2 linked regions of the Drosophila melanogaster genome follow. The protein of the gene in region 2 interacts with the protein of the main gene of each other region in a pairwise test. Each region holds a gene or a part of one and is shown on either strand. Other genes may lie near its edges.

What was found. Proteins that work in one complex are often made in the same cells at the same time.
Region 1: the proteins of spn-F (region 2) and CG14556 interact in a two-hybrid assay, tested with the Drosophila melanogaster proteins (one large-scale study listed by BioGRID).

The regions. Positions count from the first base shown.
Region 1 is NT_033777.3:26,124,301-26,128,799, reverse strand, and holds CG14556 (uncharacterized protein), read right to left. Parts: upstream 2,142-4,499; 5' UTR 2,074-2,141; coding exon 1,069-2,073; 3' UTR 932-1,068; downstream 1-931. Other genes in the region: Cipc (clock interacting protein circadian), read right to left, coding at 4,143-4,326.
Region 2 is NT_033777.3:31,252,886-31,257,634, reverse strand, and holds spn-F (spn-F), read right to left. Parts: upstream 2,509-4,749; 5' UTR 2,393-2,508; coding exon 1,666-2,392; intron 1,598-1,665; coding exon 1,230-1,597; coding exon of another isoform or gene 1,194-1,229; 3' UTR 976-1,193; downstream 1-975. Other genes in the region: CG1750 (uncharacterized protein), read left to right, coding at 2,781-2,956, 3,012-3,336, 3,394-3,556, 3,612-3,976; mRpL32 (mitochondrial ribosomal protein L32), read right to left, coding at 4,018-4,280, 4,337-4,576, 4,632-4,716. UniProt on the Drosophila melanogaster protein: Plays a role in oocyte axis determination and microtubule organization during oogenesis. Also required for polarized organization of the bristle. Required, with jvl, for activation of the kinase IKKepsilon in the germ line.

The sequences.
Region 1 (4,499 bases), 5.1 Mb from region 2:
ATGACCTCGTTTTTATACATTGTCTACAAATTGTTGCACGTAAGCGAAATACAATGATTTTAACCCATTTAATGAAGTTTAAAATTAAACTCGTTTCCTGATTTAGAAAAAAAAAAACTAAAAGCACAGCGATTTTCCGAGCCCACGGTGCAGTTGTGTGGTCAAGTGCTTAGCTAATCAGTCGATGTCTACAACATTGTCTGTGTGCATGTGTCTCTGTGTGGGTATCTGGTATGTAAATGTGGTCATCGCGTGTGGGCAAAAAACGTGACCAGCACCAGGGTTAAGCGTTCCGGCGACGACAACGCTTTTTGCACCAATTAGCAGTCGCAACGCTCATTGCAAACATCAGCTGTTGAAAGTCACGAAAAATGAAACACAACCAAAAATATATAAAGCTAAATGTGCCTTACATATAGAAAATGAAATGTAGGTCATACAAACAAAAATATTTCTGCAATTAAAAAATGTAATGAACAAAGAATATATTATAATTTTCATTAGCTGGCTCTACACAATTCATTTGGAATAAGCATGTACACATAAAGTTACAATTCTCTAATGAATATGTATACCTCATATCTGTATGTAAGCGCATAATTCCTGCACACAACGATTGGAAATAGACTGTGTCTATGGTCAGGGTCATGACGCATCTCCTAGAAGTTTACGCTGCACATGGCACTGCACCCGAGGAATCGCTAAAATTGGAACGAAGTCGTTGTCAGGTTGGCCAAATAGAGCTTACGTGATAACGACACCTTGCCCCAGTGCAGCGAAACGTGAGATTGGCTCCGTGAAGGTAGCAGCCAACTAATGACGCCCTCGTGAAAGGTGAAAGGAAATGAGAGAAAGTCGATGACGTATTGTGCGAAGCGGGCTAACACATCATCAGGGACTTCCTGCGCCAGAAACATTTTACGTCCATTTTACGTAATTTATTTTTATTGTTTTTAATACGAAGACCGATTTATATATTTTTATTATTAGTAATTTTTGGTCGAAATAATGGTGCTAATATGAAATATTTCCCTTAACAATAAATAAAGCTATTTTAATGATCAAATTCTAATTGGCGCTGTCTTCAAGTTTCATTTGTGACTTCCGGAACTCATCGGATAGTCTAACCGTCACAGTCAAGGATGATAGAAACTCTTCTGGATCATCAAGAAAATTCGAATGCCGTGATTCGAAAACAGCCATATTCCGATCCAGTTCCTTGTGCAATTCACTCATTAGATTCACAAGATCCTTGACCTCGCCATTGAAATCAGCGATTTCGCGCTTTAGACGACTTTTGGAAAGGCAAGCTGCATTTTGTTTAAGGAATCGTGTGGTGTGAGCGTGGTCTAGTTTTTTTGCATCCGCTTTGGACATCTTGGCATTGACAAGGTAATTGTATCGCTCCTGGCACAACTTCAGTTCCTTGGAAACTTCGCTGGACCAAGCTACATACTTAACGGCTTCAGAATTTAAATCTATAAGATTGCCTTCCATGCAGCGAATCCTTTCGCGCATTTGGTGGATGATTTCGCGGAGTTTCCTATACCTGCAGATCAGTTCGTCTATTTGCAATTGAATGCGATTGTGGGCCTGACGAAGACTCCTGGCTTCCAGCAATTCATTGCCGCACAAAGGTTGGTTATTCGGACAAATGGCTACAGACTTTTCCTTAATCTTAATGTCGATTCCTTGGTTTTTCCGCTGTTTGCACTTTACTTGAGCACCGGCTTCTATTTCTATTTCAGCAGTTTCTTCGCTAATTTCTTCGCTGCACTTCTTAACTTGACGCTTCCTAATCGCTATTTGCATAAGCTCAATCTGTCGAATCAGGCAGTCAATATCGTGTGCCATTTTCACTGGTCGATCATCAGACTGCTCTGAACGATCGAGAATATCCATTTCTTCCTCCTCACCTCCATCATATGAGAAACTGACCTTCTCATCGACGTCGAAGATTTCTAAAACACTTTTTCCACATTTCGAAGTTCGGGATATGAGATCCATTTCGTTTAATGGCATCTTTGCACATTTAGCAATTTCCCCCAAACTTTTAACGTTTTCAAGTTCCATGACTAAGAAAGAACTCTGTTCCTGTTTTGTACTTTAATTTTCATGCGAGTGAAATCAAAAATCTCCTACTACTATGGTTGACAGTTAGTAACTTCATTTGAATTAAAATGGGTTTCTCGTAAAAAACTAACTAATGAAACTAATCGAGTTTTTCGCTTGCGCCTTGGGCTTGGAATAAAAAATTGCAGTTGCTCAACAGAAATTTAAGTTATCTAAAAGATACTTCAATATTAAGAACAAACTATTTACTTAACCCATTTTAAAACCACACTGATAGTGTGTATCTAACATTGGGCTGTATCTAACTTCTATTCACACACTTTAAAAGTACTGGAGTTCTCTTGCCTCGTCATCGCCGCGCCATTGCACGTGCCTCGCTTCGTTCTCTGTGAATTAGTCACCGGTGATGCTAAAATGGAAATAAAATGTTAAATACCTTCAGTGATGGCAGAGGGCGAGGGCATTGGCCAACATTCCAACCCTCCGGCTGCCACGCCCCTTTCGAACGCCGCCTCCCCAGGGAAGGCTGACGAGTTTGGGGGGTTTTGAATTTGTAGCGTCATGAGGCTTGCACGTGGCCTCGTCACACCCATTTTTATTTAAGGCTTGTGTCGGTGTATTTCTTTCAGTTTATTTTTATGTGTTGCTGCAAATTAGCAGGCAGCAACGAGCACAAATAAAAAGGCAGCAACAACAGTGGTGCTTTCAATGAATTCACTTTGGAAATGGCACCAGCAGCAAAGAGAAAAAAAATAGCAAACTTGGCTAAAAGCAAGCGAAGTAAATGTGCAAAACATGTAAATAAAGCTCCGGCAAAAGTGGCACAGCAGCAATAACAACACTGGAGGTTATGACACACACTTATGTGGAAGCCCCGCAGGCCGACGCCCCTGGCTACGTGTGCTTGTGAAATATTTCTTGGAAAATATCTAAGAAAATGTTCGGGCAATTGCACTTGGCTAATGAGTAATCAGTGGGCATCATTTGACTGGGATGTGTAAAATATTCTAAAGACTCTGCAAGTATCTTTTAAATTTCTTTCTAATTGTTGCTCTAAATTTGAGCAATGATCTCCAGAACGCGGTTTGTTGTCTGTTTAATCTCGAATTAATCTTAATAATAATCCATATATTTTAAATCGACTTGATCTGAAAATTTCTATTTTTAGATACTTGATAAACTGTCTTGCCTTCTCGCCTGCTACTCGATACCCATTGCATCCCACTGAGCCCATATCCATTTCGGTGGCAGTCATGCGGCATTAGATCGCTTATATAAATGTGTCAGCCAGATTTGCGAGCCGAGTCTGTCTTACCCAACAGCCAATGCCGGCGGAAGAGCAGCTGGAGCCAATTGCTGACGCAAATTGTTGTGGCATAACACCAAACTCGCGTGCCTTCCATGGAGCAACATTGGCAGTATTAGCATCAATGAAACACCGGAGACCAACACGTGAAGAACCCGATGCGAACCCAATTGTGAACCCATCGCAAAACGCCCATCGCCCATCGCCCATGGCACGTGCATTTGAGCATTCCAGTTCTCTAGTCGAGCCACACATATGCATGGTTATATGGCAATGAGGAAGTGGGAAACGAGGACAGACCTCCGAGAACGGAGGTGGGTGGCCGAGTTTACATAAATTAATTAAACATGACCGAGTAACGTGAGCAGCTCGGCAACTGGCAACTGGGAAATGGACTTGTAACAGTCACAACACCAACGACATCAGCAAATCAGCAGGGGATTCTGAATATAAAGGGTATACCAAAAAAAAAAAATAAAGTAAAACAGATAAGAGACAAGGCGGATATTGCAATGAATATGTAAGGCTATGTTACGTATACGCCGCGTGCGCCCACCGCAAGCTATTGGCACTGAACAAAATTGACTTAAGCTTCTATATATGATAAATTATAAATGAGAGATAGATTTAATTGCGCTTAAATTAATTAAAATTTGAATGTAATACAGTCGTGTGAAACTAATAAAATAAGAATATTAAACCTAACGCGAACTATTGTATTTTCGCTACTACATTTTACTGAGTAATCTCAGTGTTTACTCACCATGGTTGAGCACCGAACTAGCTTGTGTGGCGGCAGCTGCAGATGTGGATCCCACGGACAAGGACGAGGACGATGATGCGGTGGATGCGGTTGCGGATGCTGATGAAATGGCGGCTGTGGCCACGCCATGATGTCGCCGCGTTTCGCGCAGCTGCTTTTTCTCCGAGCATATGGTGGGCGCCATCTTCTTGAGTCTTCTTTTATTTGGCAGCGTGTATTCACACTGAAAGCAAATGAAAGTAGAAGCACAAATTAATTAGCCGCCGCGTTGATTAATTGATAAAACGTTTTAGTGCGTAATTAAGCTGCCGATCTGCACGCGCCGACCAGTAAACAAATTAAAATTGAGTATTCGAA
Region 2 (4,749 bases):
ATGATGCTGTTGCCACTGCGAACTGCGAGCAACTGAAACGGGCCATAAACACCCCGATATCTTTTATAGTTTGGAGGGGCACGGTGCCCACGTAGACTTGGCGTCTGGGGGGAAGTCGGAATGGAATCGGATCGGATCTGAATTCGACACCTAAGTGGCGCGTGATTAGCCCCAAACGGTAGCAACAAGTGGCAGACTAATTGCAGCGCTGGGTTTTCGAAATGATAAATGGATGGATCGCAATATATAGACCATGAGAGCTAGGAAAACCCAGTATTAGTTGGAAATGCGGAAAAGATCTAACAAAAGTTGCTTGAACTCTTACAAATTCTATGCACATTGGTTGGTGAATGGGTGGGGTTACCAGTTATACGACTTGTAGATAAGCACCAGATTTGATAATTTGTTTCATTATCTGAGCATTTCATAGTAACGTAATAAAGTATCCACGGGAGCTGCCACGTGCCTGTGTCTTAAAAATATTTATTTATCAAACTTATTAGCATAGGCAAATTAAAATGTTTCCTTAAGCTAAATTCCTGCTGCGACCCACTCCAAATGCATTAAAAGAAAGTTAGCTCTGAGCATTTGCATTTGTATTGCTATCAATGGCAAATCTTATGGTCAATATTTTGGCAAATATTCGCATTGAATGACTGGATCAGCCCGATTAGGCACACGTTGCCAGTCGGGTTTCGACTACGTCATAGCCAAAAAAACAGGGAAATCCTCTGACCAGTTACAGCATAATGGCCTCAAGCCAAACTTCTTTGTCGAATGTTCCACTCTTCCCCCAAAGTGTGTGACTCACAGAAAAGCTGCCAATTAGATCGGATAATGACCACAAGCGATGGTAACATCGATCGTCATCTTTGATATTACAATATTTGTCAGCGCTAATAATATAATATTTATGTTGTCCACGGTCCACGATTTCACTTTCCAACCAACCGAAGAGAGCGCTCAACATGTTTTCAGGCTTTTCATTTAAACTGTATTTCGTATTCGGTCACTTACATCTATATATTCATGCACTCTCCGCAATTATAATACAATATATATATATTTTTTCTTAAAGTTCAATGTTGTATAGTTTTGATACATGATCGCCCTAACGTCTTATCAATAGAAACGTAACAAGCGGCTCCTGCGCAGTCAAACTGCTCCTTAATCCTTGGATTTCTCCGGTCAGGTCAGAGTTCGGTGGCGAAATAAATGCGCCTACTGGGTCAGAAGTCACCCACAGCATGGGAAACGAACTCAAACTGGCGCTCAATGCTGTTCTCCGACTCCAGTTCCAGTGCATCGTCGATGAAGTGCATCTCGACGTGCTCGCGGAACGCATTGAAGGACACTTGGCTGGAGTACTGCTTGCCGCACATAGGGCAGGTCTTCTCCATTGCGTCGGCTGCATCTGCTTTGATTTTCTCTTGTATTATGTTAATTCTCTGGCTGGGCGGCGTGCCATTGTGTCCATTGTGTTGGCTCTCATAGTTCTTCAGCTCGCTGGTCAGGCTGTCGTCCGTTTCCAGACTTTTGTCGGCCATCTCCGGTTTTTTGATGGTTTTCTGGGCACATTCCGGACAGGGCTTGAGTGCTGCTTGCACATAAAACAGGCGTTAAAAGTTATTTTTTTTATAGCATGAATTCCATTTTGTTGCTTACCTATGCGATTTTCTAGCAGAGTCATTACCGATCTGAGCTCCTGCTGCTGCTTCATGGCCTCTCGCCTCAGCTCCTGCAGTCCATCCAAACATCTTTTGGCATCCACATTGGCATCTGGTTCACTAGTGGTTTCCTCCACCTTTTGCAGGTTGTAGGGGTAACCTAGTTCCTCACTGCTGGCACCGAAGTCATCCAGGGCTATTTCCTCCAGACTGAGATCCTTAATGCCGTCGGAGAGCATCTTTTGGCGAAGGTGAGGATTGGGGGAGTGCTGCGTAAAGGTCTTGGAGCGCACCAGGTTCTGGTTTTGCTGGGCTCGCGAGTCTGTTGAGCTGGGCAGTGCGTTCAGCTGCTGATCCTTGGAGATCTGCGATAGGCGGGACCAGAGCCGTCTGTTCTCGTTGGATACCATGCCAATGTGCTCCTCCAGCTGCTCCTTTTGGCGCTGCAGCTCAGAGACCTGTGCTTTCAGAGAGAGGACGTCCCCAGTGACCCCGATTTCGTTTGCCCTTGGAGCACCTTCCGACCTGCTGGAGGCCTCCCTTAGCTGCTGGTTCTCCTCCTCCATGCTGGCCACGCGGCGCTGCAGCTGGATGCACCGCTCCTTGATCGTCTGCAGCGCCACTTGCAGTGCGTAGTTCATTTTTTCACTGGAGGGGGAGTTTGTGGATCCGGAAGCGGACATGGAACTGGCCATAGGCGTGATTTTGGCAGCAGATGCCTCCATTCTGCAGTATTGGAGTTCCTTGGCACTTGATCCCAAAAATATACGTTTTCCTGTAGATGTTTGATTTTCCAAATTTTTATTGCGTTCTCATTAGTATGACCGTGCGATGAACTTAAAAAAATAATATACACTATACCGATAGTCTATAGTCACTGAAGACAGATAAATAAAAGTAAAGTAATGTATTGAGCTAAGTTTAATTACTTAAACAAAAATAACGACTCTTGATCTTATAAAGTTAGACCACCATTTACATGGTTGAAGACGATAGGTTCAACAGGTTTCACTCTATCTCAGCATTCCTATTACGTTATTTGGTAGAGTGACCAGCTGGTATCGCGAACAGCTGTTTTTGTTTACGCTGCATTATTATCCAACAAATTTTCCGATGTTTTGCGGCAAGAGTTTAGTCAATAATTTTTACAAATATAAGAGAAAAGTGTGGCAGAATGTAATCCCAATTGCACAGCGCTGCAAGGGAACTTACCACCCTCCAAAAATTCTCTTTTTCGGTACCGACAATTTTTCCTTGCCCAGCTTACAGGCGCTACACAAAAACTGCGGGTAAAATGTTTTAAACAATAATGTTAAATTGGATTAATAAGAATATTTTTCTTAGTGATCGTTTGGGAGTTGTTACCTCCTTCAAAAGTCCCGCCAACTGTGTGAGGACCTACGCGGAAAAGGAGAAGCTTCCCCTGCAAAAGTGGCCCATAGATCCTTCTGTGTGTCCGCAATTTGATCTGGGTGTGGTGGTCTCCTTTGGCCACCTGATTCCTGGTAGTATCATCAATGGATTTCCTTATGGGATGATCAATGTTCACGCTAGTTTGTTACCCAAATGGCGGGGAGCTGCTCCCATCATATACGCCATCATGAAGGGAGATGCCAGCACTGGAGTTTCCATCATGAAAATCGAACCTCACCGGTTCGATATCGGTGATGTAAGTTCATTCTTATCTTACCATTGTATGCAGTAGTATTGACGACTTATGCTTTAGATTTTAGCTCAGCGAGAAGTGGCTATTAATCCCGATGTCTTCATGCCGGATCTGCATGCATCTTTGGCGTCGCTAGGAGCCGAGTTACTTGTGGATACTATTAACAACCTATCAGTAAGACTTAAGGAAGCCAAACCCCAAGATAGTTCAAGGGTCAGCTATGGTAAAGCATATCTAAGCACTTCGAGAACCTATATAAACTATATTTTTGCCTTCAGCTCCCAAGATTACCAGTAAAATCACAGAAATTATCTGGTCCGAGCTGAGTGCCATTGAAATATACACTCGTCATCGAGCTTTGTATGGCTACAAAAACCTTACAACCAACTTTTTGGGCAAGCAAGTGCAGTTGCTGGAGTTGCGATTACCGGAGAAGAGAGTTCCCGTCCAAGAACCTGGTGCCATCAGCTACCTAAGGAAGTCGAGATCCCTCATAATCGGATGTGCTCAGCAGAGTCAGTTGGAAGTGCTTCAGTTACGCGTGGAAGGTAGAAAACCTATGAGTGCCCAGGACTTTAACAACGGATTCCTGAAGCAAGCAAGGTCCTTATCCTTCACAGAGAATAAAATAGCATCGATTTGATAACGAACGTGTGGATTTAATGCACAATGGATGCTTAGTATCTAGGCCAAGTCGGAGGGCTTGACTTCCTTGGTTTCGGACAGCTGCTGCGTGGATTTTTGGAGCAGATTCTTGGTGAACCACATGGGACGAGGCTTCTTCATCTCCACGATGCGCTTGTTTTTCAGATCATCTGTGGACTGTTCGGCCTTCTCGCCTTCATAAAGAACGATTACTTCCTTGTCCACGGGATCTAGACCGAGTGTCTCCTGGATTTTCGACTGCATGAGCTCAGTCTCCTTCAGGACCTTTTGGTAGCAGAAGGCTGGAAGAGCAACATTAAAGGTGGCTACCTCTTTGTATACTTTTAAGGCTACTTACGACAAAGAACTCCCATCTCGTGGTCATGGCCACATTGCAGACAGGAGCGGAGGTTTCTCTTCTCCCTCAAAGGCTTCCAGTTGTATTCCGGATATCCGAACTTCCGCTTCAGGCGTTTCTCCACGGATCTTCTGTGCTTCGGAACAGCCCACAGCAATCCGTCGCCAATAAGCTGCTTCAAACTGAATTCCTGGGAGGATTTAGGGCTGTGATCATGCTGAAAACCGGCCAACGCTAAAGCTGTGTAAAAAGTGGGTAAGTCAGGGTAACTTTATCTTGGGCTGGTGCTTCTCACCAGGAGGGTGTCCTCCATGTGGCAGGAACAAGCTCTCTAAGTTCCTAATAAAGTTTGTAATTGATAAAAACAAATTTCTAGACATCTTGTTGCTGCTCTTCTGAAATTTACGTAAACG